Linked DNA regions of Oryctolagus cuniculus. The protein of the gene in region 1 binds, or shares a complex with, the protein of each later gene. Links are inferred from orthologs where the notes say so. Each region holds a gene or a part of one and is shown in the gene's direction. Other genes may lie near its edges.

Region 1 (10,088 bases):
CCCCGCCCCTCCCTTGCTGGACGCCTTGGCCGCGTTGCCTAAGCCGGGGCCTCCATCTCTGCAGCGGGAAGAGACACCTCCTCGCCTGCTCTGCAGAGGCTGCGGCGGGCGGTGGATTAAACGAGAGGATCCAAGTGCAGGGCTCCGAACTGCGGAGAGCAGCACAGGTCTAGCTCTCGCCACGCCCTGCTCTCCGGGGCCCATCTCTGAGACTGGGGGCCTCTCTGGAGGAGGTGGGAGGGGCTCGGAGAATCCCCCAGCAGTGCCCCGCGACCAGGTCAGGCTGTGCCGCTCTGTTTTAAAGTATGGTGGCAAAACAAAGGGGCAGCAGACAGTCCTGGCTGGGCCTGGCAAGGAGTCTACAGACAATAAAAACACCACGAAAGGGCTTGGGGGAGACTGGGCTTACCTTCTCTGAGAAACTGGGAAGAGACAAAAACTCAAATGCTAGAACCGGGATCAAAGTGGCCTCAAGTCCATGTAATCCTAACTCCTGCAAATGAGAGAACAGTTCTGAACGTGAGGAAAAGGCCCCCATGTCCCATTAACGCCTTGTTCTGTGCCATCTCCTCTGGATTTTAGCAGACCCCCGCCCTGCCTTGCTCCAGCCCCCTGCTTCCACCACGGGTTTATGGGACAGAAGTCTCAGGCTACTCACCCTGACATATGGATCCTGGCCACAGGCGTCGTCCTTGGCGTCTTTCAGTAAAAGAACCTTCATTATTGCCTGCCGGTCCCCAGGGGCGCAGGGACAGGGCAGAGGCAGATCTTCGTCGGCTCTCAACAGCTCTTGCTGTAAGCAATGATGGATGGGGCCTGTCCCGCCCTCACCGTGACTTGGCGTTAATGGGCTTGTTCTTTCTGAAGGCCGGGGTCACTGATAAGACCAAGGAGGGCAGGCGTGTTAGCGGCCGATACCGCTCAGAGGTGGATGGCAGCCATTCGTGCAAGCCAGGGGCCCCCACCAACCATCTCTGGCTCACAGAAGGGAAGTGGTGAGAACTCTGGGTTGGATCAGTAACAAAACAAATCTGAAATTGTAAGGAGATGAACTACTTTCAATTCCAGATAAACACACTAAACAGCTCATATGAGCACGTTGGAAAATAATGACTTGAGTTCTCACTCCCCACCTGGTGTTTCATAACTGTTGTCAGAATTAGGAGATTGCCAAATGACCTGGAAGACAATCTGTCAACCTGTAACAAAGGCCTCATAGATGGTTTACCTTTGCTTCCTATAATTTCACTTCTAATAACGCACACTGGGGCCAGCACTGTGGCACATATGGGCACCAGTTGGAGTCCTGGCTGCTCCACTTCTGATCCAGCTCCCTGCTAATGTGCCTGGGAAAGCAGAGGAAGATGGCTCAAGTACCTGGGCCCCTGCACCCACACGAGAGACCCAGAAGAAGCTCCTGGCTTTGGATCAGCCCAGTTCCAGTCATTGTACTCATTTGGGAAGTGAACCAGCGGATGGAAGGTTTCTCTGTCTCTGCCTCTCTATCTCTGTAGCTCTGTTATAATAAATAAAATTTTAAATAAATAAAAAAAAATTTTTTTTAAATTACTTTAAAAAATCACACTAAGGCAATAGTCATAAATAAATCTGTAGATATTCTTTATAGCTGCAAATAATTGAAAACAGTGCAACACTCAATAGAGGGGATGGTTAAAGACAACACAGCATAGTTACATCAGGTCATGAAGATACCCACAAGTATTACATAATCACAAATAAAAGTAAACAAAGCAGGGTTCAGGACTACACAAACAGTATGACTTTGTAAGTCTTACATATACACATACATATGAAAGAAAATGTACCAAAATATTCACAGGAATTATCTTCGCAGGCTAGGATGAGCCCAGTGCTCTTCAACCAGCAACATCACATCCGAGTACTGAGGGAAGCACTTTACGACCACCCAAGGTCTCAAAAGAAATGATGCTGATCGTTCGTAACAGCATCCTAGCCAGCGGTTAGCTGCTCAACGAACACTCCGCAGTGGCTGATGAGTCAGTGGGGTGCGTTGCTGGAAGTGGACGCGAACGCTGGGCGCCACTCCTCAGGGCCTGCCTGACTGGGTCTGGACCACTGCAGCATCTGTGGAACATCGGAGGGAAATCCGGCTCGAAGGAACTGCCCTGCACCAACAACGAAGCCTCGGTGAAGCTCTGCCTGCTTCCACCAACAACGAAGCCTCGGTGAAGGTCTGCCTGCTTCCACGAGGTGTTGGCTGAGACGGGGCGCTCCGGGGAGGAGCAGTTGTGGTTCCCATCATTTTCTGGTTACTGAAAATGCAGTCAGGGTCCAGCATGGGTGACGGGCACTCTCACGTGTCGCACTGGCCGGATCACAGCTGTCTGCAACGCTCACTGAGGTGTGCCCTGCAGGTCCTCTGGAGGCATGGTCCAGCCCTCCATTGGTGGGCTTTAAGAAGGAGGCCATGCTGGGCTGTGCGGCTGGGCCTCACTCATCGGTCCAGAGGCCTCAGCAAGGGCGGAGCTGCGGCTCCCCCGAGGGAGAGACCCCACCTGTGGACACTCCACAGCCCTCGCTGTCAGCTGCCCTCCTGGATGACCTGCACCGTGAATTCAGACATGCTGGGGCAGGGTTGTTTTTTTTTCATAATGACCTTTCTGAAAACTCCTGATATACATGGACTTAAAAATCTGACACCAAAATAAGCTTACTTTTTAAATTTTATTTTCCACAAATTTTTTGGAGTACTCTTATAAGTCCTAAGTGTTTCCCTCTGCTTGATCTAATATGCCTTCCAACCCGGGGAGTCCAGGAATCTGGCATCGCCAAGCAGCAGCAGCAGAGAGAGGGAGAGGGAGAGAGAAGGAGAGAGGGGAGAGAGGGGAGAGAGGAGAGAGGAGAGAGAAGGAGAGAATCTTCCATCTGCTGATTTACTCCACAAATGGAGTAAATCAAATAGCAGAGGCTGGAGCCAAGCAGAAGCCAGGAGCCAAGAGCTCCATCCAGGTCTCCCACGTGGGTGCAGGGGCCCAAGCACTTGGGCCATCCTCCACTGCCTTCTGAGGCACATTAGCAGGGAGCTGGATCGAAAGCAGAGCAGCCGGGGCTCAAACTGGTGCTCTGATATGGGACGCCCGCATCGTGGATGGTGGCTAACCCACTGCGCCACACCACCCATCCCAACCTTGACATTGTCTGGTAAAGCACAAATCCTTCCAGGGCACACAGCAAGCAGGTGCGGGGACCACAAGCTGTTGGAGGAGCAGCCACAGGATGGCCTGTGCGCCACTCAGCCCCTACCGCTCCTGCCGTGGTTCCAGGCTCCGGCACACAGAGATCCACATTTTCTTTTCTTTAAAGATTTATTTATTTATTGGAAACTCAGAGTCACAGAGAGAGAGGGAGGGACACAGAGCGATCTTCCATCTGCCAGTTCACTCCCCAGATGGTCGCAACAGTCAGTGATGGGCCAGACTGAAGCCAGGAGCTTCTTCCTGGACGCCCACGTGGGTGCAGGGGCCCAAGCACTTGGGCCCTCCTCTACTGCTTTCCCAGGCCATTAGCAGGGAGCTGGATCGGAAGTGGAGCAGCGCCAGCCCCTACCGTATTTTGTTGACTGAGAACACAAGTGGCCATCACATCGCTGCTCTAATTCACACTCTGACCACAGGCTCAACGCGGGGAACCCAGGGCACAAAGCCTCCTCCACTTCTAGCAAAACGATACTTGGTCACTGTGCAAAATGTGCAAACTACCAAATAGTGCAGTTCTTCAAAAAATAAAAAGCAGAACAGAATAGGTACAGGCCTCAAAGAACTGAAAGAGGGAGAGATGTCTGTGCAACCGTGCTGGCCACAGCTAAACACAGGAGCGGCCCAGTGTCCACAAAGATACACGGAATGTGGTGCACACACACAACGGGAATCCAGACACGGGGTAACACCGTTTGACCTGGAGACATCCTGCCCAGCCTCAAGAGGGCCAGTCCTGATTGCTCCTGCTGAGGGTCCCAGAGCTGCGACCTCACAGCCACGGCCGGGCAGGGGAGGAGCCCAGGGATGCTCTCTAATGAGCACAGAACCCAACTCTGCAGGAAGGGAAGCTGTGAGCACGGATGGTGGTGATGGCTGCACAATGCGGACATGCTTAACGCTACTGAGCTTAGAAATGGTTAAAACAGTAACTTTTGTTACGTATATTTTACAATAAGAAGGTATGAAGAAATGGGAAGAATCACTCAAGACACAACTCTATCGATACGTTAGCGCGCTCTCTCCTGGGTCTTTTTTTCTTTTATTTATTTGGAAGGCAGAGAGAGAGAGAGAGAGCAAGAGAGCCCACCCACTCGTTGGCTCACACCCCAAACGCCGGCCGCAGCGGGGGCTGGGCCAGGCTGAAGCCAGGAGCCCCGACCTCGATCCAGGTGTCCAGCAGGGGTGGCAGGGCCCCAAGGACCTGAGCCGTCACCGCCTCCCAGCAGGCGCCGGCAGGGCGCCCAGGCCCCGCGCGCCCGCCCCCCGCACCCCCACGCATGTCAGGGCTGGCTCCTGTCTTGAAAAACTTGCAGGCCAAGAGGGTCAGCAAGGCCAGGGGTTCGGTCCCGGGCGAGCCCGTGCCAGCGGCTGTGGGGGAGGCCGCGCGGGGGCATCGGGACGGGCCCGCTGACCTAGGAGCCGGGGCCAGACCGGACTCGCGGTCCCACGTCGCCAGGACGCGTCGCCGGGCTCCATGTCACAGGTTCCGCGGGCAGGACACCTACCTCGCGGGCAGGTGAGGCTGAACGCGCTGAGAAGGGCCACTGCCCGGGTGTCGCGCGGACCCAGCGAGGAGGCCGCAGGGGCGACGACGCGGGGTGACCGGCCCCTTCCCCTCGTAGTCTGAGCTGCGCGGACCGCAGCGAGGGCCGAGTCCCAGCAAGTCCAGACCCCCGCACGTCCAGACCCCAGCACAGGCGTCAGACTGCCCGCGCCTGGCCCAGCTGGGCGCTCGCGCGTGCGCACTGGCAACTCGGCCGCCGGAAGGAGGCACGCGCGGGGTGGGTCGAACCACTGCGCGAAGGGGAGGAGAAACCTTGGAGTGAAAAGGAGCGGAGATAGAAAAGCCCGACTTTGAGAGCTCATGGCTTTGGAATCCACTAGGGTTACTGGGGCTCATATGTCTTTGGACTCCATTAGGGTTACTGGGGCTCACGTGGCCTCTGCGCCGGCGTCCTTTGTAATGGTCCACCCCCTTAGCCGGTATGCGTTAATCCGGAAGGTCAAAGGACAGGGAGGTGCGCAGGCGCAGTGTGCATCGGTGGGGGGGCAACATGGCGTCCAGGTCCAAGCGGCGAGCAGTCGGGAATGGGGTCCCGCGGCCGCCTGGCGCCCCGGTCCAGCGCCATGAGCAGGAGGAGGAAGATGAAGTTGAGGATGAGGACGAAGATGAGGAAGACAGCGACGAAGAAGAGGATGAGGACGACGAGATCGTTGACGAGGTGAGAAGCACCTGCTACCCCGGTTAGATTTACACCTGAGAGAGAACTTTGTGGCGACCGAGGCCGTGGGCCCGTGGTGTGGGCCGCGCGGCGAGGCGGTCCCCGAGGGTGTGTGGCGGCGGCTGCAGCCTTCTCCACCCGGCGGCTCCTGCCCGGATGCCCGCCGTGAGCGTCCCTGGGGGCTGTGGATGGTTCGCTGCCTGGTGGGGCGGCGGGGCCTCGGAGTCCGTCCTGTCCCGGCTGCGCGGGAGCCCGGCCGTGCCCCGCGCGTCCTCACGGCCGAGGGACGGAGAGGCGGCGGGGATGGGCGCGTGGGAGCGGGCGGGAGGCCGGGACGGGCACGAGGTCGCGGAGGGTGGAAGCCGGGAGGAGCGTGGGTGAGGGGCGCCCTTCCTCCGCCGCCCCCGTTGTTCGTCACTGGGAGCTGTGCTTTGCTAACTTGGGGTGCTTCCTGCATTGTCCGTGGGGCCGTCTGGGATTAAACATCCGTGTGGCTGGCACCCATCACAGATGCCAAACAGGCACTGGGAGTCTGCGATGACGAATCTGGCGGATTTGGAACGGCGTCAGGGCGCGGGAAGTGGGACCCGGGCCGGCGCCGGGGCGCAGCGGGTCGGGCGGCGGTGACAGCCCGGCTGCTCGGCTTCCCCTGCGCCTGGGAGAGCCGCGGAGGGCGTCCGGAGAGCCTGGACCCCGGCCCCCGGGCTCCTGTCCTGGGCCTGGTGCAGCCCAGCCCCTGCGGCCATCTGGGGATGGAAGACTCTGTTTCTGCCTCTCTCTCTCTCTCTCTCTCTCTGCAACTGTGTCTTTTAAATAAATAAATTTTTAAAAAGTGGAACTGAAATATATTTTGATAAAAAATTTTGAAATTCGGGGCCAGCGCTGTGATGTAGCGGGTAAAGCTGCTGCCCGCAATGCCTGCATCCCCCGTGGGCGCCAGTTCAAGTCCCGGCTGCTCCACTTCTGATCCAGCTCTCTGCTGTGGCCTGGGAAAGTGGTAGAAGATGGCCCAGGTGCTTGGGCCCCTGCACCCGCGTGGGAGACTTGGAAGAAGCTCCTGGCTCCTGGCTTCGGATTAGCCCAGCTACGGCCGTTGCAGCCAATTGGGGAGTGAACCAGCGGATGGAAGACCTCTCTCTCTCTCTCTGCCTCTCCTTCTCTCTCTGTGCAACTCTGACTTTCAATAAATAAATAAATCTTAAAAAATTTTTGAAATCCATGCCTGCAAGGAGGGCTTCAGAAAGTTCGTGAAAATGTGTTCCCAAAAAACTGCATGGATTTCAGATTTTTTTTGCACCAAAATAGACTAGCCTTTTAAATCCATGAGCTTTTTCATGTACTCCGTACATGCCCTGATCAGTTCTGCTGGTGAGGAGTTACCCTCAGTAGTACTCACAGCAGTGCCTGCTGCTCCGGTCTCCGTGTTTTGTGTGAACTCGTTGAACGCTCACATCATCCATGAAGCCGGGACTGCCATCATTTTACAGCCGGGGCTGCGTGGCAGGTTACGGGAGAACAGCTTGTGCAGTCTGCGGGGCACTTACGAAACAAGGCGCATTTGATTGTGTATTGACGACTTTTGAAAGAATGACTTATGTTGACAGTAATCTGGAGTGGGGGATGTTATAAGACTTTATAATTCTAACTCTGCTCTCATTGTGATTTTTTTTTTTTTAAGATTTATTTGAAAGGCAGAGCTACCGAGAGGCAGAGGCAGAGAGAGAGGTTTTCCATTCACTGGTTCACTCCCCAAATGCCCACAACGGCCAGAGTTGGGCCGATCCAAAACCAAGAGCCAGGAGTGTCTTCTGGGTCTCCCATGTAGGTGCAGGGGACCAAGCACTTGGGCCATCTTCTGCTTTCCCAGGCCATAGCAGAGAGCTGGATTGGAAGAGGAGCAGCTGAGACTTGAACCAGCGCCCATATGGGATGCCGGCACCGCCAGCCATGGTGGCCTTACCTGCTACGCCCCAGCGCCAGCCCCTCATTGTGATTTTTTTACCCCTGACATGTATGATTTTTTTTTTTCTTAATTATTTTAAAGTAAAGAGAGAGAGATCTCCTGTCCACTGGGTCACTCCCCAAAAATAGCCAGGTCAAAGCCAGGCGCTGGGAATTCAGTCTGGGCTTCCCACATGGGCGGCAGGGACCCTGGTACTGGAGCCATTACCTGCTGTCTCCAGGGTGTACAGTAGCAGGAAGCTGGAATTGAAATTGAAGCCGGAACTTAATTCAGGTGCTCTAATATGGGGTATGACATCCCAAGCTGCCCCTGTGCCAAACACCCAAGCCTGTGTGACTTTTTTTTTATTAAAGATTTATTTATTTGAAAGTCAGATGGAAGGAGGGAGGGAGAGAGGGAGAGAGATCAATCGATTGATCGATCGATCCATCTTCCATCTGTAGATTCATTCCCCAAATGGCCACAATGGCCTGGTGGGGTTGGGCCAGGTCAAATCCAGGCCTCACAGAGATAGCAGGGGCCCAAGCACTTGGGCCGTCCTCTGCTGCTTTTCCAAGGTGCATTAGCAGGGAGCTGGATTGGAAGTGGAGCTGCTGGGACTCAAACTGGTGCCAATATGGGATGCCGGCACCGCAGGTGGTGGCTTTACCTGGTGCACCACAATACCAGTCCCACCTCTATGACTTTGGACTGAAGAAACTTCTAGTCAGTTCCCCGTGTGCACCCAGTGGACCTTTTTCTCATTTGAAGGAGGCTTGCTCATTTGCTTGGTATAGAATCCATGAGAATTACTTTAGAAACTGGAGATCTGCTGCACCTCTGATCTGTAGTATAGAGGAAATAAGGAACTGTGCGTGGTTATTTAAAGCCCTAAGGAGCCTGATTTAAAGGACAAGGGGGGCAGCAGGCGAGTGACAGCAGGGTGTGTTAGGGAACCTCAGAAAGGAGTGCTGAGTGGCTAGGCGTGTTTAGTTAGTCTCTGTGATCCTGGGGCTGGGACTTTGTGCTTCCTGGAAGCCCCAGAGGACAACTCCGGAGGAGAAAAGGGCCTAGGAGTAGCTGGGGTCCTGTCCAGGAGAGCGATGGGAAGCTGAGCGCCACCCCCACCCCCCCCCCTCGGTTCTCTGCCCTGCTCTTCTCTGCTGCTACAGGAATGTTTGTTTTTTCTTTGTTTCTCCTTACAGCAGACAGTCAGTAATACCAACAGAGATTTTTATTCAGAAGAGCAGGACTAGATGCCATAGTCTTGTAGATTCCGCATCAGCGTGTGTGTGTGTGTGTGTGTGTGTGAGTGTGAGAGAGAGAGACAGTGCTGTGTTCTGCAGAGCTGCTCCCTGGAACACCTCGGAGGACCCCTACTCGGGGGCAGGGTTCTGGACGCTCACCCATGGGGCGTCTGCTGCAGTCGGGATGCCACAGCAGTGTAGGACAGAGAGCCGAGGCTTCTACCCTGACAGGGAAGAAGTGCAAGGAGAAGGTTATTTGAAGAATTTATTTCTTAGAGGTACATTTAAGACTTGAATACTGGCGCTGGCACTGCGGCGTAGCAGATAAAGCTGCTGCCGGTAGTGCCGGCATCCCATGTGGGCACTGGTTCAAGTTCTGGCTGCTCCATTTCCAGTCCAGCTCCCTGCTGGTGCACCTGGGAGAGCAACAGAGGATGGCCCAAGTGCCTGGGCCCCTGCACCCACGTGGGAGACCTAGATGAAGCTCATGGCTTCAGCCTGGCCCAGCCCCAGCTGTGGTGGCCATTTGGGGAGTGAACCAGCAGATGGAAGACTTCTCTCCCTCTCTCTCTCTGACTCTGAGTTTCAAGTAAGCAAAATAAATCTTAAAAAAAAAATTGAACAATGACAGTCTGTTATTTGGTTGAGTTTGACCGTGTGTGGAGCTTCCCCAGCCAATGCCCTGGGTTTCACACAGTGTGGCAGAGTCTGCCTCAGAGTCAGGATCTGAAGCGAGCTGGGTGGGGTGCCCAGGCTCTGGCAGGTGGATCAGCCTAAGGAGTGTCTTAAATAGACACACGACCGCAAGGCAAAAGCCAGGTCTGCTTTCTTCCCGACATCCTGCAGCTCAGAGCCAGATTCCAAACCCAGAGAACCTGTTTGAAGTCCAGGCATTCATAGCTCTTCAAGTAGCGTTGTCTTCTTGTCCTTTTTCTGGTATCTTCTGTAGAACAAATAGAAAAAAGAATCTGCAAATTAGAAAATAATGCCTTTTTAAAATAATGTCATTTTAAAAAATGTGTGGTGACCTGTTTTGTATATTATTTACAGGAAGTGAATATTGATTTTGAAGCTTACTCCATCTCAGATAATGATTATGACGGAATTAAGAAATTACTGCAGCAGGTATTGTCTTTTTCTTACTACGCGTAAATTTCTTCATCTAAGAAAAGCCAGGCCATTCTGCATGCTGCCTGGCTGCATCCTCTCAGAGTTCCTGTGTGCACCTCCCTGGAAGGAGGAATGTCCCCCTCCCCAGGCTGACTCCCCTGCCTCTGCCTCTGCGCCCGGACCCCCGATGAGTGTGTTCAAGCAGCCTGTGTCCCTCCCTCATCCGCTCATTGTGTGAGCTGCTGTCCTGTTCTCTGTAGTTCACACCCACACGTGTGGGTACAACAGTTCTTGGTTACAGCTGTGGGCCATCGGCACTGTCCAGCGC
Region 2 (10,329 bases), on another chromosome or scaffold:
CTACTTGTTCCTGATCACTTGAAGTCACTCGTGCAGATGTAGTAAACTGTTTTCAAGAGGAAAGAGTGATGCACCTTGATGAGGACAATTGAATTTAACTAACTTCTTCATAACTAGCTGTATACATAGTGAGAAAATCACCAAAACTTGTTTCATCTTGAAATTTATAACTGAATACTGGCAAGAACAGTTTTGAAGATAAAGTGAGATACTACAGGAAAAAAAGTGTTGAGATACTTAAAACTATTATTTCAACCTGTCAATTAGTAATAATTTGTAAGGAATAGGTTGAACCATTATTCCCAAACTAACCTAGAAGTTTATGACTTGGGGTGCTTCTGGTTCTTGATAGGCTCTGAGTAAACATTTGCTATTTCCTTGAAAAAACATGGGAAAAGTCATTTTGTCAAGCCCTAATTCCTTATGAAAACATGTAATTTCATTTTCAAGTGTTTTTTAATTTTTAGATGAAGCACTGTGATCAGCTGGTGCTCTATCAACACTAACTGGACAATGGGCATATCTTCAGTTTATTGTGAAATGAAGATACCTGTGTGTGCAAACCTGACAAGGAGGTACTCAGTGGTCTCAGGAATCATCAGGATTTGTCTTTGAAGGTTTCAAACAGTGGTGGTGGGAATTGCCTCAAACTCCTAATATGGCCACTGCTCTGCCTGTATGCATGCTGCTTCTGCAGGGTCATGCCACATTTCGTGGGAAGGATCAAACAGCAGAAGGGGTAGTAGGTGGAAAATCAAAGAGATAAAGGAAAGGGTTGGCATAAAAAAAGCAAGAAAGGAACACAAACATGAAGGAGATTGGCTAGTGCACTGGGTGAGAGGGAAGTAGTAGGTTTACTGGCAGTGTTCTCTGCTCTCCTCTATGTCCCCTTCAGCATGAATTTGGGAAAATAATTTCAAGCTCCTTTGCTTCTTATATTCTGAAATTCCCATGTTTGAGAAGACAGGAAGCAAACAGTGCAACAAAGGAAAGAGAGCATCATTGCTAAGTGACTTTGTGGCAGTCTTCAAACCTACTGCTGTGGTTCAGTGTGTGTGGGTTTCCTGAAAACTCTTGGTGAGCATATTGTCTAGCTCTCCACTCATTGCTGGGAGGGTCATTCAAAGCTCCCACTAGCTCCGTCAGGCTATTGTTCATTCTGGTTTTCAACTCTTGCAGGATAGAATGCCCTGGCCTGTGCAGCTATGACAAATGTGAACATCCAGAATTTGGAAAGGAAGAAGCAGTAGAGTATGGTTGCAGTCCAAAGGGAAGACTAAAAGGAATATGTAAAGATAGAGACTCCCAGAACATAAGGGGCCCAACACTGCAGGTCCAAATCAAGGTTCTGCTGCTTCTCGAAATTACTTACCCTCTTACTCCTTATGTTTATTTTTGGAAAATATATAAAGTTCTGTTTTTTAAGAAAGTTCAAAAGAAGTAATGTATAAAAATACTGAGAACACTGGCTGGTACATAATAACAACCTTAATAATAGTAACCCTCTTAAAAGCCAATACCAAATTTCTTCTTGTTAATTCTTATTTCAGTATGGATTATAACTTTTCAATCAAGATCATGTTTCTCTCAAAAATGTAAATAAGGCTTTCCTTTAAAAATTTTAAATAAAGATTCTTAGCTCCCTCAGAAATTAATCTATATTTAGACTGTCTGTATTTCAGTTTTGTGGTGGTCCTAACTTCAACTCCTGGTATGACATTGTCACTTTTTTCTTTTAAATGTGAACAAGAAAATTACTTACCAGTGAGGTTCAGGAGCTAAAGCATGAAAACCAAAGCAATCCTGTACTTCAATTTAAGAGTAACTACGCTGAAAAAGTTCCTGGCTGTGAATGTATTTGGAATTTACAACTGGATAATTATTTTGGAATTTACAACTGGATAATTATTTTGTTATCTAGAAAAAATGTTAATGCTGGCAATTGCAAATTTGCAATTTTATGTAAGGACGAATGTTTTTCCCCCGAGTGTAAATATTACCTTTCAGTAGGACAAGAAAAAAGAGGGACAATGAACAACATTGTCATTCAACAGTATGTAACAAGAGGCAGCTATGAATCGAACACATATTGATCCAAGGACTAAATTGTCCACCAAGGCACTGTCAAGCATAAGACGTCCTGAGTGCCGTAGTACAGGAGTCAGCAGGGTCTGGGTTATGGCTGGGAAGTGGAGAATGCTTAAGTGAAAGGTTTGGGGAAGTGCCAGCCACAAGTCCTGGAGGGGGGGGGGGGGCGCGGATGAGTCCTGCCCCAGGGCTGCTCAGAGGCTCCCTTCTCAGGTTCGGTAGAGTGTGACAGCATGCCCTCAATGTCCAGATTCATCTTCTGCTTCCACCTCTCAGTCATGGCCTGCATGCTAGGGAGAGGCCATGGGAGCAAGGGCAGCCTCAGCTTGGGAGAGGGTATCCACTTGGAGAAAGGGGTGGAGGGTTGTAGTAGCTGCTGTCAGGAAAGCGCGAAGTGGGGTTGGGCACGTGTGTGTCAGAACCACCTGGCAGCTTACTAGATCCACAGAATAAGATCCTGGGATGGGCACAGCTTCTGCTTTTTATTTTTTTCATTTTTAACGGAAGGTTAAGTAACTTAGAAAATAACTACAGTGGGCATAAACACTTGATTTTTTCTAGTACGCTGCATCTAATAGATGATTTTTCTGGCCATGTTTTAAAAACGGGCAGAATTCACACTGGCCACCGAAGGGAGCCAATCTATATGGGCCTTTTCCCACTTTCAAAAAAAAAAAAAAAACGTTTTGCTATTTGTACTTACCTTGTCCTCCAGCGACAAGGTATTGACAAGCCGCAGACATCCCATGCTCAGCACTGACAGAGGTATCCCTGTGCAGACCGCTAAGCACTGGCAGGCCCAGAGATGCTCCGTAACTCCCTGCAACCCAAAAGCCTTCCTTCAGTGCACCAGCAAACTCACTGCTACCCATCCTTGCTCAAGCATTCTGCCTTTCTATGTCTCCCCCTCCGGGGAGCATGCTGACAGGGACCACAGGTGCCCACTCCTCAGGCGGCGAGGGCGGCTGAGGGGCCGCGGCCGGCACGGCTCTCCGTCCTGGGACGCAGCTCCGCAGGGCGCCGGCAGGGGGCGGCGGCGTCACGCCGCTGCCGGCGCCGCGGGGGAGAGTCCCGCACCTCACGCCCCGCAGCTTCGGAGGCTAATTCCGGGCTCCCACAACTTCAGGAGCGGCGGCCGGAGTTGCGCCGGCTTTGGGGGCAGGCGCGTTCGGCTGCCTCAGCGTTCTCCCCGCAGCCGCCTCTTCCTCAACCTCCCACAGCCTCTACGTGGAGAGCAAACCGCTGAAAGAGGCGGCGAGCGGCCGGCGGGCGCGGACCGAAGTAGAGAGCGCGGGGAGCAGTCTGCAAAGGTGGGGGAGCGGGTGTGCAGGGATAGCTTAGGAGAGCGACGCTAGCAGGGGAGCCTCTGAAACGTATTTTGCACGCCGCGCCACCTCCCACTGACATGTTCATTCACTGGAAATGAGCGCATCGGGGCGGGCTACGCCGAACGCGCTTCGCCGCCTCAGCTTTCCCGCCGCGGCGCGTCAGGCCCCGCTCGGCGGCGCTTTCGTCGCCCGGGCGGCCGCGCGCTCGCTGGGGCGCGCCCGGGGCTCGGCCACTGGCCGGCCGCTCGGGGACGCGCTCGGGCCCCGCCGCGCTCCGGGCCGCCCGCGGCCGCAGCCGGACGCACGTCCGCGAGCCGCAGCACCGCCCACCGCGTCTCCGCGGGCTCGCCGCGACTTCCCCGGCGCGTTCTGAGGTTTCGGGAATCGAAACCTAGTTGTCGGCCAGCCCGCCCCTCACGTAGGGGATCGGTTTGCGTGGGACGCGTGAACTCGCTGGCCCGCACGGGAACCGAGTTCGTTCACGGAGTGTAGACAGAGTTTCCAAGACGGCATCGCTCGATCCCCAGCGCGGCAGGGACGCGGTCCCGGGCGGGATTTCTCGCTTGGGATGTTTCTGTAGTTAGGCCATTCTAGTGGGATCCGGTGACATGGATTTAGTGGGATTCATGGCCTCTCAGTCCTCGGACAGGGCGTTTTAAGTGTCTCCTTGTTTGGAGGGGCAGGGGAGGGAAGGTGGGAGAAGAGGCTTGCGTGTGGCGTACGTAATTAGCATCTGTAGAAATACACGCACGAGCGCCCGCGTCCGGAAACCCGCACAGCGCCGCGGCCGGAGCCCCCGCATTGCTGGCCGTGGACACCCCGCGCTCCCAGCTGTGGACACCCCGCGCACGGCGCGGCGGCTGCTCCGCCGGACGCCGGGGCGGGCGAGCGGCGGCGAGCGGCGGCGGCGGGGGCGGCGCCCTATGCAGATGAGGAGGGTGTGGCGAGCGCGCAGCGCCGGGGCCCCGGAAGCGCGGAGAAGCCCGGTATAAAAAAAGTACTGAAGACGTTTCCCCCGCACAACTGCTAAAGCTCCAGAGACAGGAGCGTGTGCGGCGGCGGAGCGGGAGCCGCCACCTCCGGGACCACTGCAGCGGGGGCGGCAGCGGCGGCGGCGGCTCGGGCGGGGGCGAGGGGCGGGAGTGGCGGTGCAGGCGGCGGGGGTCTGGGAAGAACGAAATCCCAGCCGCTGCCGGCGGTGCGCTAGCAGCTCCGGGCAGTGTTGCCGCCTCGCGGTTCCTCGCTCGCTGCGCTCTTAGAAGGGGCGGCCGCCTCCAGGTGACACAGACGGGACTCTCGCTTGCGCTTTCCAGATGCATCAGAGATACTTTTGGTGCGGGGCTGCTGTGCGGGGCGCGGCGGGGCACTGCTGGGGCCAGCGGGGGGTGGGGTGCGTTGGGGTGGGGTGGGGAGGGTCTCCGGGCGAGCCGAGGAGGGGCTGCGCGCTCAGACCACGGCGGGCCACTGCCTGCCGCTGTCGCGCGTCCTCACCGTGCTCCTTTCTCCCCCACCCCCGCACCCCACTTGTTTCTCCTAGGACTGAGCAGGGCCCAGTGGCGCTCGGCGGGCACTACATGGCGGAGGGCGAAGGGTACTTTGCCATGGCCGAGGACGAGCTGCCCGGCGGTGCCTACATCCCGCTGGGCGGCGAGTTGGGCGGCGGCGACGGCGGCGGCGGGCACTGCTTGGACTACTGCGAGAGCCCCACGGCGCACTGCAACGTGCTGACCTGGGAGCAAGTGCAGCGGCTGGACGGCATCCTGAGCGAGACCATCCCGATCCACGGGCGCGGCAACTTCCCCACGCTCGAGCTGCAGCCCAGTCTGATTGTGAAGGTGGTGCGGCGGCGCCTGGCGGAGAAGCGCATCGGCGTCCGCGACGTGCGCCTCAACGGCTCGGCCGCCAGCCACGTCCTGCACCAGGACAGCGGCCTGGGCTACAAGGACCTGGACCTCATCTTCTGCGCCGACCTGCGCGGGGAAGAGGAGTTTCAGACTGTGAAAGACGTCGTGCTGGACTGCCTGTTGGACTTCTTGCCCGAAGGGGTGAACAAGGAGAAGATCACGCCGCTCACGCTCAAGGTAAAGCCGCCTCCGTCGCCGACGCGCTGGGGGCCTGGGGGCCTGGGGGCTGGAGCGGGGCGGCGGGTAGGAGGCAGGGCTGGGGGCCTGTGCGGGCGCCCTGGAATGACTTTCCTGGTGACTTTGCTTTTTTCCCGCGAGTAAACCAAGCTGCGTGGACGGCATTGCGTCTTTGCGTGTACTTGGGTGCTTCAGCGCCACCGCTCTTCTCGCTTCCTCCTCTGCGCCCCGGCGGCTTCCTTTTCCCCTGGGTTTTTGACCCTTGGCTCTTCTTGCTGGAACCTTGGGCCGGGTAGATTCCGATCGGTGGAGACTGAAACGGAGTCAGTTGTTTGTGATATAGTTGGGGAAGGAGCAGCCAGCAGCAGAACTGAGTCAGTGGGTTTCGTCTTGTACCGGAAAATGTGAATAGGTTGCCTAGCTGCCTTCAGCCGAGTCTGGGAATTAGGGACGTATCTGGTGGTGCTCCGTATTGGTTCGGTGCTAAGTGTTTAGTGCTACTGTCTTCTCCTCGCCCTCCGCTCTGGCTTACGGCACGTTTTATGTAATTAGTTAAAAATTGTCCGAGGAAGCGTCAGCCTTCCAGTGTCGGACTGTAGTTCGTGTCTGATTATAACTGCACAGTAACCCTGAAGGGACCCTCATGGGATGCTGATAACGGCCTGGGGGGGGGGGGGGGGAGGGAGTAGGGGGAAGGGAACGAGGTGTCTGGGGACGGGGGTGAGAGACTAACCACTGCGTGCTCTTCTGTGTCTGTGGAATATTACCTGGACGCCGTGTGGATATGGTGCCCATTAGACTATTTTCAAAAAAAAAAAAAAAATTGCAAAAGTCAGACATGACAACAGAGCCTCTTACTGCTGTGCTGCCTCTGCCAAAAGCCTCAAACTATTACTTCTAGTCTCTTTCCCAGACAGTGAAGCTACTCGTTAAATTTTTTTTCCTGTCTTCAGAAGACTGCTTAAGCCTGCAGGTAGTGTTTTGCTGAAACTTGACAAACAAAAGGAAAAGTGCAAAATTTATTCTCAGCAATGAAGAAGTTTTATTTATTTTATTGCTTTTTCTAGGTTTGCTCATTTTCTTGTTTTATCTTTTAAATTATAGGAAGCTTATGTGCAGAAAATGGTTAAAGTGTGCAATGACTCTGACCGATGGAGTCTTATATCCCTGTCAAACAACAGTGGCAAAAATGTGGAACTGAAATTTGTGGATTCCCTCCGGAGGCAGTTTGAATTCAGTGTAGATTCTTTTCAGATCAAATTAGACTCTCTTCTGCTCTTTTACGAATGTTCAGAGAATCCAATGACCGAAACATTTCACCCCACCATCATCGGTGAGAGTGTTTATGGTGATTTTCACGAAGCCTTTGATCACCTTTGTAACAAGATCATTGCCACCAGGAATCCCGAGGAGATCAGAGGAGGAGGCCTGCTTAAGTACTGCAACCTCTTAGTGAGGGGCTTCAGGCCCGCCTCTGATGAGATCAAGACCCTCCAGAGGTACATGTGTTCCAGGTTTTTCATCGACTTCTCAGACATTGGAGAACAGCAGAGAAAACTGGAGTCCTATCTGCAGAACCACTTCGTGGGCTTGGAAGACCGCAAGTACGACTATCTCATGACCCTTCACGGAGTGGTGAATGAGAGCACAGTGTGCCTAATGGGACATGAGAGAAGACAGACTTTAAATCTTATCACAATGCTGGCTATCCGGGTGCTAGCTGACCAGAACGTCATCCCTAATGTGGCTAATGTCACTTGCTATTACCAGCCGGCCCCCTATGTAGCAGATGCCAACTTCAGCAATTACTACATTGCACAGGTTCAGCCAGTATTCACATGCCAGCAACAGACATATTCTACTTGGCTGCCCTGCAATTAAGAATCATTTAAAAATGTCCCGTGGGGAAGCCATTTCAGACAAGATGGGGGGGAAAAAAGAAAAACAAACAAAAAGAATGACCCAGCCCTGATTAGGGATGTGTTTTGTGCAATGATGATATGCTCCAGGATTTAAGCTTGGCGAAGCTTGTGGATCTTTCTGTAGGTATGGGAGCATGATCTTGAAAGATCTCCCTTCCTGACCCTCCCTTTATCCTACCCAACTGGATTCTGTCTGAAACAAAAGAGACCTGTCATTAAAAGCAACCAGGTTCTCTTAAGATAACAAGAGAAAAAAATTGCTTGATGACAATATGGGTTTGCAGTAAGTGCTCCCATAGCTTTGCCATAGTGAAGACAAAAAGTGGAAAATTTCCTTTAAAGGTGAAAAATCTTGAAAGGGAAAATACAGAGGAAAAAAAGATCTCACCTCCACTTGTTTGTGAGTTCCAGAGTTCAGATAGTAACAGTACAGGAGGGAGGAGAACTCCGATGTTGGTGTTGCTATCTGAGTTTGTAGCAAGTGTTTCTGTTGTGCGAACAGAAAGGGCTTGCTCCAAATGAACAGTAGTAGGTTGGTGCAGTTCTCACAACAAACAGCAGAATTTAAGATGACACAATCCATTAATTCCAGCTGCGTGCATAGCTCGCATTTTTAAAATGTGAAAATGCAAGCAAAAACAGCTGGGGCAAAGAAAGTATGCTCAAGGACCAAAGATTTAACAGATAACAATACCCAAGTAGAAGAGGTATAGTAAAATATATGAAGAATACTATATTTGTTACACACCAATACACATCAAAGTGCCTGTTGCCTTCTGAAAATTTGAAGTGGAAAATTGTTTTATGGTTTAATGCTTATTTTATTTTATCAGGGACTCAAGAAGAAAATAAAACAACATATAAGCTTGTGAATGGTGGAGAAAATGCCCTATTTTTTTCTTGGCAAATACGTGTATAAAGTTGACATTGTTGGTGTGATATTATAGGTACGTGTGTATTTTATGTGTATATATACACGTATCGTGTGTATACACACAATACATTGACTATGATCTACAATAATGTATCAAATAGGAAATGTTTACTATATGTTTTTATGTTTTCAACAGGATGATATGAGATATGGGCATATTGCAATGATGAGTTAAAACCCACAACTAAAAAATTAAATGAAGGAGGAAAGCAAGTAATATATTTGATAGGAAGAACAGAGATTATACATTTTTAGTGATTTTTTTTTCTTTCCTTTTTTATGAGCCAGAGAATTCCACAAATGGGAGAATATTTGTTTGGCAGAGCACTCTTTATATATTGAACTGTCATTTTGACAGTTTGAACCCCCCCCCTTTTTAATTAATTGCATGCCTCCATGGTATATAATCTAGTGGATTATGAATCAGTGGTAGGCTACTTAAATTCCTAACTGCTAAAAAGAATTTCTGGTGATCTGAACACTACTTATTAATATTTAAATGAATTTTTTAATGAATGCATTCTGCATTTCTGGACCACTAGAATTTAGTAAATGTGAAATGACCCTTTTTAAAGAGTATTTGCACAATTGCTTAAAGTTTATATATGAGATATATATTATATATAATATTTTATAAAATCATGCCAATATGAAACTTCTTTGATCTGGTTGTCACACTGCATTTAAATATTTAGTACTGTAATTAAATCATCTCTCACTAAATCAAATCCAACTTTATTTTGTCTTCTCTGGGAGACCAGTATAGCTTTGTGAAATGAACTGGCATTACCATTACAGTTTGAGAATGGCTGATCCCCAAATTGCCCTTTCTTCTCGAACCTTAATTCCTCTAGACACTGGTCTCTGAAAATGCATTTGCTAAAAATTGAACCAACACATAAAACCTTCCATTTCTGTAGTGAAACAACCACACAATCCCCATCAACCCTAGTGGACGGCTGCTTCCTGTGAAAATTCCTCTGAATACTCAACAAGAAGATTTTTGTCATCAGTTAAAGAAGGACTGGGGGAGAAAATAGCATTCACCTGTTGGCGTGCAACCTGTTTGCTTGTTTGTTATCTCGGTATCTCTCAGATGTTCAGTGCTAGGTTAATCCAGGTGAACCTACCTGAACACATTTTGTACAGCTTTCTTTGAAACCTTAACAGAAACCTAATGAGTTTGCTGTCACAGCTTCCCTGTGAATTCTCTTAGAGCTGACACAGCCCTTGTGTTGCCATCCACTGTTTTCTGGGGAACTCTTCCTGCTCCCACTTTGGCTCAGACTCCTTCACTCTAGCCCTGGGTTGAAAAATTAATTGCAATGTACCAGGAAAGATTTAATTTACAGATTAAGCCTGATCCTCACCTATCAGAAGAAACGAGAGCTCTCTGCCTGTTTAGCTGTTTGGAAGTTTTCTAAATAAAACAAAAAAACAAACAACAGCAACAAAAAATCTAAGGCAATGCTCAGGAACACAGGAGCCACTGGTGACCAGCTTTCTTCTTATCCCGATTCTTGACAAATTAGCTGTTTACTATTTTAAAGAGTCTGGAGATCTCTGACTCTGACATTGCAACAACCTGCTGTTAATTTATCACACAGATTTTTGTAGGGAGGAGCCCTATTTGAAAATATACTTCTCATTTTTCTCAAATATTTATATTCATTTTTTGCTTACTTGAGGTTTGGTAGCTTAGTTGAAAGTGCCAGCACCTGGCGTTCAGTTAGACCAGGCTGTACTCAAAACTTGTCAGCATTTACTTTAATACGTATATAATTTATTTCTATTTTGTATGTACTTTAGTCTTGTGCGTATGTAGTTGAATGCACAGTGGAATATATGTCTCTCTTTGTGGATATGTGGCCTAAAAATTTGAATGTCTGGTGAGAGAGAGCCGTGTGTATAGGTCAGAGAAAAAGAATAGCTCTCAACTCCCTGTTAGTGCCTGTGATTTGTTTGCTTTCGTGTTT
Region 3 (10,263 bases), on another chromosome or scaffold:
CCGAGGTTGCACTGTGGCTGAGACAGGGATCCAAGCAGTCAGACTCACCCCCTTTCTCCACAGCCACACCATCAGGGTGGGTGGGCAGCGATTAAGTCCACATGGTTTACCTTTGACTTCTTCTTTTCTCTGACAGTGTCACCCATGCCCCCTCCTCCTTCCTGGAGCCCTGTCTTATTCCCTTCATAGGGTCTTTGCATGACTGCCAGGCTGCCAGAGCTGTGCCCATAGATGCGATCCACCTCCCCCTTTTTTCTTTCCCACCAAATCCAACCAGTCCTGCCTCCCATTCATTCTGGGACTTAACTCCAAATAAGACTAATGTCTTCTGGGGCTGGTGCTGTGGTGTAGCGGGTAAAGCTATTGCCTGCAGTACTGGCATCCAGTATGGGTGCAGGTTCGAGTCCCAGCTGCTCCACTTCTGATCTAGCTCTCTGCTACGGCCTGGGAAAGCAGTAGAAGATGGCAAAGTCCTTTGGCCCTTGGACCTCTGTGGGAGACCGGGAAGAAGCTGCTGGCTCCTGGCTTCAGATCGGTGCAGCTCCGACCATTGTGGCCAACTGGGGAGTGAACCAGCAGACGGAAGACCTCTCTCTCTGCTTCTCCTTCTCTCTCTGTAAATCTTTCAAATAAAATAAATAAGTCTTTAAAAAAAAATAGGCTAATGTTTTCTTTCTCTGAATCTCATTCTCTTTCTGAAACACCCAAGAATACTGCTTGAGGAAGTCCGAGAAGAGATGGGCATTTCCTGGAGAGAGTGCTGGTGGGAATTAGAAAGCCAAGTCATGTCTTGGCCCCACCAGAGCACAGACAGTGCCTCTGTGGTGGTTTTAAAATCTGCCAGGGAAGGCTTTGATGCTACTTTGTTTGTGATTGAGTGCCGGTAACATAGGTTTGTTCAGTTTGTGAACACTCACTGAGCTGTGTTCTATACACTGTGCCCTTATCTGCATACACTGATAAAAAAACTTAAGAATTGGTTTAAAGAAGATGTTTAGAGAAGGGTATTTGAATAAACATCTACAGTGGTGATTCACCTTGAGATACAGTAGTACAAACACTCAGGACTTAAGAAACTGATAAATCAGGCCACAGCTAGGCGCTGTACAAAACTTCTTTCTTGAAACAACAAAGTTTTTCAGGGCCACTGCTACAAGTGAGGCATGCTTGCATCTTAAAGACCTTAATGCTTTTCTCTCACTCAGCTTTCCCAGGTGCAAATCAGTGAACCACCGGGAATGTAGAGGTTTTTAAACCACGTTGACTGCAAGTGCTTCAGCAGGGTCCGGAATTTGGCAAGGAGGCACAGTATATTGGACAGTTTCAATATCTGGTTCCCTGTCCTGTCCGATAGGCAGGACGTGGGTACTTTCTAATACTCCTTCCAGCTCCAGGATGCCATGGTTTTATGAGGTAGAAAGAACAGACTGTATTAAAAAAAAAAAAAAAAAAAAAAAAAAAAAAAAAGCAAAAGCACACAGTTGAAACCAAAATCTAAAAACAAGTCAAATAATGAATATCCCAAGGAAAAAAATTATGCCTGTGTATGAATAATGAATTTCTTTTTGGCGCTAGGTTCTCCCGATCTCTCCACCATATAATTGCCTAATTTTGTTCAGAAAGTTGAACAATTTCAGCCAAGCAAAGGTGCTAGGTCAAATTCTAGGCTAAGACTTTTTGCCCTGTGTTCTACCTTGAGGCCACCTGTGCTAACTGTATCCACGAGGCACTGAAACAGTTGAAATGGCCAAAGCCAATGCAATAATCTGTATTAATTTTTTTATGATTGGAGATAATTTATGGAAGGATGGCTAAGTTACTGACCCAAGGCCTTATAGATAGAAAAAGTGAAAGCAATGAAGAAAACAAAGGAGATTTTCTTTTTGGCCTTAGGATAGGCAGAGACTTAAGCAGGACATAAAAATACTAGTCATAAAAATAAGATTCATAAATTTTAAAATTAAGAATTTATGTTGTGGGCTGGCACTGCAGCAATTGTGAGTTAAGCCTCCACCTGTGGTGCCAGCATCCCATATGGGCCCCGGTTCAAGTCCCAGCTGCTCTACTTCCAATCCAGTTCCCTGCTATTGTGCCTGGAAAAGCAGTAGAAGATGGCCCAAGTGCTTGGTCCCCTGCACCCACACAGGAGACCCAGAAGAAGCTCCTGGCTCCTGGCTTCGGACTGGCCCAGTTCCAGTCATCAAGGCCATTTGGGGAATGAACCAGAGGATGCAAGATCTCTCTCTCTCCCTAACTGCCTCTGCTTCACCCTCTCTGTAACTCTGCCTTTCAAATAAAAATAAATAAAATTTAAAAAAGAATTTATGTTTATCAATGATAACATTAAAATAAGAAGCACGTCATAGGTTGATTGAAGATATTTGTAATACATAATGCCCTGGACAAAGGACCCGTATTGAGAATATACAGAGTTCTTACACATCAATGAGACAGACACCTCCCCCAAAATGGGCAAAAGCCTTGAACAGAGACCTCATTCAACAGGTGCCAGAATGGCAAGACGCATCTAAAACGTTGTTCACCATCATCGATCATCAGAGAAATGCAAATTTACATCAGAATGAAATACACACCCCTCCTCCCTTCTCGTAAACTCGAAAGACTGACAGTACAAATACTGGCAAAGATGTGGAGCTTCGAGAAATCTCACATCACTGGTTAGAACATAAATTGTTACACCACTTTAGAAAACTGTTTGGCAATATATCTAAAGCTTCACATGGCTTACTCCAGGAACCAGGAATTCCAGTCTGGGTGTATAACTGACATAAATGATTTTGCTATGTCGACCAAAAGACGTGTAAGAGTGTTCAGGCCGCTTCATTCCTGAAAAGTCAATATCTGATGCAACTCAAATGACCGAATATTTATAGAATGAAGTAATAAAGAGTAATGAAAAAGAACGAGCCACTGTTAGACACAAGAGTGAACCTCACGGTTTTGTATGTGGATCTGGGTGGCAGGTACGTGGCTGCACACGTGTGTAAAAAAATCATCATTCTGCACACTTCACGATTTGTGCACTTTACTTAATGCTATTCCTCAAAAACGGTGAAAAAATACCAGACCATACATCCTCATTTTGGGACCAACAATAGGGCCACTGTGGCTTTTCTTACAAGCACCTCAACCTGCGGTCCTATCCCATTACAGCTCCTGGGGACTCCCAGGAAGACACTGATCTGAGAACTCAGCCTGCTGTCAGCGGCTGAGAACCATACGCATTTCAGGCAGGGACGGACATGGGGGGAGGTGAGGGCAAGGAGACACTGCAACTTTTCCTCCGCAGCTACTAGAGGATGAAAACCAGCTCAACGACTGTTTGTTGATGAATAACGGCTACCATTAGATATAAGCAGCATTCGCCACGGGGTCACCTTATACCAGACGCTGCACTGATCAACTTTTCCAAACCCAGGGAGCTCCGACTCAGCACTAGTCCGACCCTTCGAAGCCGTCCCAGGCTGGGTCCCAGCCTGCAGCCAGGAAGTGGAGGCTTGTGGAGAGTCCTTTAGGTTGCTCACCCAGGGCCTTAACGCTGGTGGTGAACGGAGATGCCAACCCCAGCGAGTCTGAATGCTGGCCCTGGGCTGGACGCCGCCCCCTGCGGGTGAATGGACGGCGTTCAGGCCCCGCCCGCACGTTATGTAACACACACGGCTGAGCCCCGAGGCGTTCCGGGTGCGGGGCTGGCCGCGGCTTCCCCAGGCCCTCAAGCCCAGTAACTGCCCACAGGTGGGCCCTGCAGCCTGCTCACCCACCGCGCCCCCGTGACCACGCCTCCACCCCCACCCCAGCCCCAGCCCCAGCCAAGCGGGGCTTGCGCAATCCCAAAGGTTCCCAGGGCCCTCAAGCCACACTTCTTCCAACTTCACGCACAGCGCCGGATGCAGGCATGGGCACCTCATGGTCCGCTGCTGGAGGAAGGGGGACCAGTGCGAAAAGCCCCGGAGAAACGTAAGAGAGGCAGGCTGCAAGGGACCGGACTGGAGGCGGGAGAAGCTTGTTGGGGGGGGGGGGTCGAGTTACCCTGCGAGGGGAAGGGCAGAAAGGAGAGAGCCGTCCCGGCAAACGCCGAAGTCAGGGGTGCAGACACAGCCCCTCTCTATTGCGCCTGCGCAAGGCTGCCGCGCCGCGCCCCGCCCCTCCCCGCCGCAGAAGATTTACTCGTCTCTCGGCAACCATTCACCCGAGCGGCCAATCAGAGGGCAGCGCCGGCCCCGCCCCCGCCGTCAGCGCGCCGGCCGACTCCTCCCGAGGGCCTGCGCCGGCCCCGCCCCGCCCCTGGCTCCCCCAGGAGGGCAGGCTTAGAGGCGGGGGCCCGGCGGCCGCGGCGGCGGGCGGGGGCGTGGCCAGGCCGTATAAGAACGGAGGGGGCGGCGGCTGGACGGCTCACTCGGTGCCGTTGCCTGGGGGCTGCAGTGACCGCGCCGCTCCTGCTGGGGGCTGCCCACGCCAAGGACCTGCCTCTGTCGCCGCCTCTTCCACCGCCCAGGTGAGTCCCCGACCCCCCTCCTCCAAAGGTGCGCGGGTGCCGCGGCGGCCGGGGCGAACCGCACGCTCGGCCCTCGGGGGTCCGCCCCTAGCGAGCGGTGCGCCCGTCCTGGTCGAGCCAGGTGCGGGGAGCGGGGACCGAAGTGGAGGCGCGGACAGGTGCCCCAGTCCTGGGCTGCCTTCGCCTCCTGCTCCCTCCACGATTCGGCCGCCCGCCCGGAGAGAGAAAGAAGGCTACAACTTTCCGGAGACTGCGGCCGGGGCTTGGCAAAGTGGAGCGAGTTCCTGCTCGGCGCGTCCCGCGGGGCAGGCGCAGGCAGGGAGGCCGGGAGTGCGCCGAGAGCGCCTCCGGGCCCGCTCCGGGCCCGCTCGGAGGCCCCACCGCACTGGCCTTGCTGGCGGTCTCGGGCTCGCCCCTACGCTCCCGCGGGCTCTGGCGGGCCGAGCGCGAATTCGAACGCGGCGGTTCCGCCGGGCGCACTTGGAGACGGAGCGGTCCGAGGCTTGCAAGTTGCGGGCAGGGGCGGGGCGCTGCCTGGGCGCAGAGCCAGGGTCTGGGCTGTACGGAGAGGGGCGGGACAGCCTTGACTGTCGGTGGACTCGCTGTCCGCCGTGGACACACCGAGGGCAGCCCAGGAGCCGAGCGAGGGGCTCGTGCGCGCGTGTCTCTCGGAAAGCGTCTGCGGGACCCGATTCTTACCCCTTTGGGAAACCAAACTTGCTTACCGCGTGGGCGGGAAGCCCCGACGGGTCTTGCGGACTTGGATAGCGGCGCAGCGGCTGGCCTCCAGGCGCGTGGGCCCCGCGTGGTGTCCCGGTCCCGGGCTCCTGGCGCTGAGATCTCGGGACGCGAAGGAGAGCGACGAACCTGCGGAGTCCAGGTGTCCGCCTTGAGGCCGCGAGCGCCAGCGAGGAGACCCGAGCGCGCCTCCTCGGAGTGAGCGAGGCTTCCTGGAGAAACGCGCCGGTCGTCCGTGGCGCCGGCTGTTGGGGCTGAGCCGGACCGAGAGGGACGGCTCCCCGTGTGCCCAGAGAGAGAAGCTTCTGCAGGCTCCGACCAGCTCTTTAAGTGCGGATCTGCTTTCAAAAAAAAAAAAAAAAAAAAAAAAAAAAGGCTTGTAGCTTGTATGACAAGAGTACGAGGAAGTGCTGGAAGCGCACTTGCAGCCCATTTCCATAAAGACTATGTGTGTAAGCATTTGTATTGTAACCACTTGGCATTCAGGATGGTGGGTAGGGGTTGGAGTCCTGAAGCACCCCAGGACGGAAAGCTCAGATTATTAAATGCTGGCTGTCCTCCTGGGAGGATGAGGGTGGCCATTGTTGGCTGCACCGACCTTTCAACGTGAGTAACTTGGCAAGGAAGCAAGCCAGGCAGGCAGGCAGCCAGGCACCGTGAGCTGGTGGAGGAGCTTACCAAGAACTGCCCCGTGTCTTCCAGCCCGACTTGGGACTTGGACCCCGCCCCGTAGACCCTGCAGTTGTGGGGGGGCAGGGTGGGGACTAAAATGCTGACTTTTCTGTTGCTGGCAGGGAGGCAGGCAGTCTGGGCTGGGGCAGTGGTGGTTCTGTCCTTTGACATTCTTGCTTTGCAAATGAAAAAAAAAAGCAAAACATGATCTCTGGGGTGAAGCTTCGTGTACTTCAGGTCCCTGAAACCTTGTCTGTTGGAGTATACACCTGCTCCTGTCTTAGCAGTTTTTGGAGAGAAGATTTTGGTATATTGTGTGTAATTATTCAGGGAGCTGCAGGAGGTGTCCCCAGAAGACCACAGTTAAAAAAAAAAAAAAAGTCTATCAGGAGGCATCTAAGTTACCAAAGGAAGGTCCCTAATTTCATAAGTCATTTGGTGTGTGCACACAGAACTAACAGCCATGCTCTTCCTAACGAGGAGTTTGTTCCACAATAGTAGCCTTGTATCCAGAGATTAAATTCATGCACCTCTGAAGGAAAGGGCCTGGCTGGGTTTTTGTTTGTTTACTTGTTTTGTGTGTGTGTTACAGAATGAATGTTATTGATTGAGCACCAGCTCTCCCTGCTTAGTTTCTCCAGCTGTCCTGCTACCACAGGAGTCACCTTATCCTGAGTCCCTGCCTCCCCCGCCCAGCCCTATCTCCCAACAGTGCACATATTTAGCCATCCTGCCCTGTGTTCAAGGTCAGGGCAGACCATGTACATCCTGCACAACCCATCAGAACAGAGAATTCCTCATGCTTCTGAAAGTCCAAGGAACAGCCTGGCAACAAAGATAATTTAAAAGTGCACCATCGTGCCCTTATTCTTACTATTCACTGGACACACTTGAGACACAATGAGAAAACTATTTTAATTTCTTTTCTTCCTGCTTCAGTAGGTAGTACCGGGGTCCTCCCTTTTCATCTTGGATGCGTTGTATTCACGGAGTCAGCCGGAGAAGGAGGACGACCCAGGAGTTCTGAATGGATGTGCTGAACCTTGTTCATCACTGCGGGAGGATGAGGCAGCCGAGGCCTAGTTCCCCGAGTTAAATTAAACTTGTGTTGTTGTGTTTGGGTTTCGTGGTGTTGCACCTGACTTGCAGTTGTATCGCTCGTGTGTGTGTGTGTGTGTGTGTGTGAGAGAGAGAGTGTTAGTTTTGTGGTTAACAAGGAGCCATACAGAGTCTAAAGTGTCACTTCGGAAAAACCGTGAGTGTGGCTAGATAAAGTCTGTTGCTTTGTTATGTTGTCACTGAAGTCAGCAGGGCAGCACAGAATAATGTCTTCTGCGGTCTTGGTGCTTTGGCTGTGGCACACTGAATTGTCATCAGTCGTATTACGATGAAGCAGGGCACCTTTGTAATTCAGAGAAATGTTCCCATCTGTAAAGCCACTTGGGCACATCAACAGTGCTGATAATCTTATGATATTTCCGGGACTGAAGAGTGCTCTAACTTTTCTTTTAACCCTTTCGTTGCCTGCATGATAAATAAGCTTGTGTTTGGAATGTATATGACTTGGAGGGAGAATTGTCATTACATAGCCCAACTCTGTATGGGAGCCTTGTGAATTGTTTCCAATGAATAGATCGTGTGCAGCTGGCCCCGTAGCCTGTTCTAAAACTGTTTGCGGAGCTTGGGGAGCTTCTTGGAACAACAGGAAAGAACCAATATGAAGAAATAACTGCTGCTGTTAAGCAACCCCCCGCGTGGGATGTTTTTCAGCCGCAGAGCCTTTGGAGGCTTGGTCACTCGAGTGTGCAGCGTTTCCTCTTGGGTCGCAGCGCTGGAGGCAGTAAGTGGTTAAGTGCTTCCTAGGCAGCGCTTTGTGCCAGGTGCAGTGGAGGCCAAGGCAATGGTATGTGAGGGCCTGCGGAAGCCTCCGCGGGCCGCTGTGCGAGAGAGGAGCTGGGTTGACTTCAATCCTGCCCTGGAGCTGCTCGGTTTGCCCTCGTTAGTGAGCTGCAGGTCAGGGGCAGTGGGGAAGTCCATGCTTGCTGAGAACCCCAGCCTGCCCGTGTCGTCGTGTGGATTGTGGGCGCGCCCCTGCCATTCCTTGTCGGAGTAGGAGGCGTGCTTTTGGTGGGCGTCTTCCTGGTGGGCCGAGGCATGGGAGGGAACCTTTTTGGACCCAAAGCCCCCAGCCTAAAGTGCAGGGCAGTTTCTGGGTCTTGGTTTTCTGGAGGCCTCAGGGGTATAGGTCTGGCGCCCAGGGCCGAGACCTGCTAATTGGCCAACAGCTGAGGCTCCTGAAGCCTCCCCGGGCTGTCCCGCCCCCAGCCGCCCAGGGCTCGCTCAGCCTTTCTGTCTCTCTCCACGTTCACTCAGTTGCTCGTTCTGCTGATGCTTTCTCTCTTTTATATTTGGTTTCCCACTGTCATCACTGACCTGGTTTAGGGGCCTGTGGACAGCTGCCTGCTGAGAGCACTGGCCCAGCACATCTCTCTGCCTCTGGCCAGTTCCACTGTCCCAGGCTCCCAGGACCCTCTGCAGCCACTCAAGGGGGCTGCCCTTCCTCATAACACAGAGCCTCCTTTCTCACTCTTGTCTTGACCTCCCTTGTCCCGTCTTGTGCCTGCCCTCCCTAGCTGCAGAGTACCCACTCCCCCTTCCTCCCCAGACGTGATGGGGGTCAGCTTTGGGCCCTTCGCACAGGCTTCTGAAGCCATGGCTCCTGTCCCCTTGCCTCTCCTCTGCAGTACTACTTCTGTACCGTTGTGCCTGGCACCTGATTTTCTGGTTTTTGTCTTCCATGAGATGAGCACAAAAAGTTCCTTACCTGTGTCTGTGTTGAGCACCTCCTCCATAAGAACTTATTGAGGAGAGAGTGACGCATGAACCCTGCCCTCTCCACTTGCTTAGCCCTTACAAGGATAGGAGAGAAGGCAACACTCCACCTAGCCCGGCTGCCTACCCCTCACCCACACACACTCTGTTGATCCCTGCCCTCTGCTTGCCAGAGTCCAAGATGAGCGTTTAGGTCTCCGGCAGCTGCCTGGTGCTGGGGGTGTTACATTATTCTGTCAATCACATGGAGTCACTTTTTGGAAGTGTGCTGATCCAAGGGTGGAGGTGAAAGGCGTTGCCAGCTGAGCACCTGCGCTGTGTCTGGCTGCTTGCCAGGGTTGCTCAGCTAGGAACTAGCTCTGGTTCCGTGTGCTGGGAACCTCACACCACGTAACGGCTGCTTCTCCCCTGCCCAGGCCCTTTGTAGTCTTTATTCCCCCACCTCGCTGCCTTGTCGGCTGGCTGCCTTCAGTTGTGGGGAGACCTGGGTTCTGGTCCTGGCGGAACTCTTGGCTCTTCAAGCTTCGCTGTCTTCATTGTAATAAGGGCAATCGCCTAGACCAATAGAAACAGGAGAAGCACAGTGAACCTTCCAGTAGTTGTGGAATTCATCTTACTGGGTCTGTTTACCATATCAAATACTGTGATTTGAATATAAAAATATAAATGAGCTATTTTCTATTTTTTCATACCAAGTCTTTGAAATCTAGTGTGTATTTTACACTTATTTGTTTTTTTTTTTTTTTAAGATTTATTTATTTGAAAGGCAGAGTTACAGAGAGAGAGAGAAAGAGAGGTGTCTTCCATCTGCTGGTTCACTCCCCAGATGGCTGTAACGACCGGAGTTGCACCGATCTGAAGCCAGGAGCTTCTTCTGGGTCTTCCATGTGGGTGCAGAGGGAGAAGGGCTTGGGCCATCTTTCACTGCTTTCCCAGGCCATAGCAGAGTGCTGGATTGGAAGTGGAGCAGCTGGGACTTGAACCGGTGCCCATATGGGATGCCAGCACTACAGGCAGTGGCTTTACCTGCTACGCCACAGCGCCAGCCCCTGCACTTATTTGAACCTGCTGCATTTCAAGGCTCATGGCTATCATATTGGCAGCCAAGGTCTAGATGGTATAAAAACATTTTAGTCTCAAATTCTGATTCCACATGTGTATGTGGAAGTCAAGAATTCCACAGCCCTGAGTCCTGGGAAGAGAGAATGAGCCGATGCAAGCCTTCCACGGGCAGGGATCTTTGTTTCTGACTTGCTGCTGTATCATGAGCTCCTAGAACAGTGCTCGGAATGGAGGCAGCACACAGATAGGTGAAAGACTGCCAGAAAGTTGGGCCACTGTTGCTGACTTACTGATACTCATCTGCCCTGTGAGTCAGACTGGACACCAAACTACAGCATGTTTGATTCCTGATCTGGTGCTTCTTCTGTTGCTTTGTTAGTTTTTTAAAGGATAGCTATAAGGAATGTAGCTTCAAAGGAGTGTGGGTAAAATTTTCTGAGACT

What was found.
Region 2: the proteins of BCCIP (region 1) and TENT5A are in contact, whole or in part, in a crystal structure (PDB 8EXE), measured with the Homo sapiens proteins. The link is inferred for Oryctolagus cuniculus from reciprocal best matches to the Homo sapiens genes BCCIP and TENT5A. Residues at the interface, in NP_510868.1 of Homo sapiens: Val57, Asn58, Ile59, Glu60, Phe61, Glu62, Ala63, Tyr64, Ser65, Leu66, Gln146, Val149, Leu150, Phe152, Cys153, Glu154, Lys155, Asn156, Cys157, Glu158, Lys159, Glu163, Lys167, Leu203, Ala204, Ala206, Thr225; in NP_060103.2 of Homo sapiens: Arg87, Gly88, Asp139, Glu151, Gln155, Lys158, Lys184, Glu185, Val188, Gln189, Lys190, Met191, Val192, Lys193, Val194, Cys195, Asn196, Asp199, Trp201, Asn213, Arg289, Lys295, Glu331, Arg334, Gln341, Asn342, His343.
Region 3: the proteins of BCCIP (region 1) and TENT5C are in contact, whole or in part, in a cryo-EM structure (PDB 8EQB), measured with the Homo sapiens proteins. The link is inferred for Oryctolagus cuniculus from reciprocal best matches to the Homo sapiens genes BCCIP and TENT5C. Residues at the interface, in NP_510868.1 of Homo sapiens: Val57, Asn58, Ile59, Glu60, Phe61, Glu62, Ala63, Tyr64, Ser65, Arg136, Gln146, Cys153, Lys155, Ala204, Gly205; in NP_060179.2 of Homo sapiens: Asp90, Asp92, Glu102, Gln106, Arg109, Lys135, Glu136, Val139, Gln140, Lys141, Leu142, Val143, Lys144, Val145, Cys146, Thr147, Asn164.

What each region holds. Positions count from the first base shown.
Region 1 is NC_091446.1:5,835,932-5,846,019, reverse strand, and holds the start of BCCIP (BRCA2 and CDKN1A-interacting protein), read left to right. Parts: upstream 1-5,253; 5' UTR 5,254-5,293; coding exon 5,294-5,461; intron 5,462-8,905; exon of another isoform or gene 8,906-9,593; intron 9,594-9,700; coding exon 9,701-9,775; intron 9,776-10,088. Other genes in the region: UROS (uroporphyrinogen-III synthase), read right to left, coding at 410-493, 659-721. UniProt on the Homo sapiens protein: During interphase, required for microtubule organizing and anchoring activities. During mitosis, required for the organization and stabilization of the spindle pole.
Region 2 is NC_091436.1:90,750,851-90,761,179, forward strand, and holds the start of TENT5A (terminal nucleotidyltransferase 5A), read left to right. Parts: upstream 1-4,575; 5' UTR 4,576-4,729; coding exon 4,730-4,749; intron 4,750-4,953; coding exon 4,954-5,497; intron 5,498-6,601; coding exon 6,602-7,378; 3' UTR 7,379-10,329.
Region 3 is NC_091438.1:52,808,215-52,818,477, reverse strand, and holds the start of TENT5C (terminal nucleotidyltransferase 5C), read left to right. Parts: upstream 1-4,258; 5' UTR 4,259-4,516; intron 4,517-10,263. UniProt on the Homo sapiens protein: Catalyzes the transfer of one adenosine molecule from an ATP to an mRNA poly(A) tail bearing a 3'-OH terminal group and enhances mRNA stability and gene expression.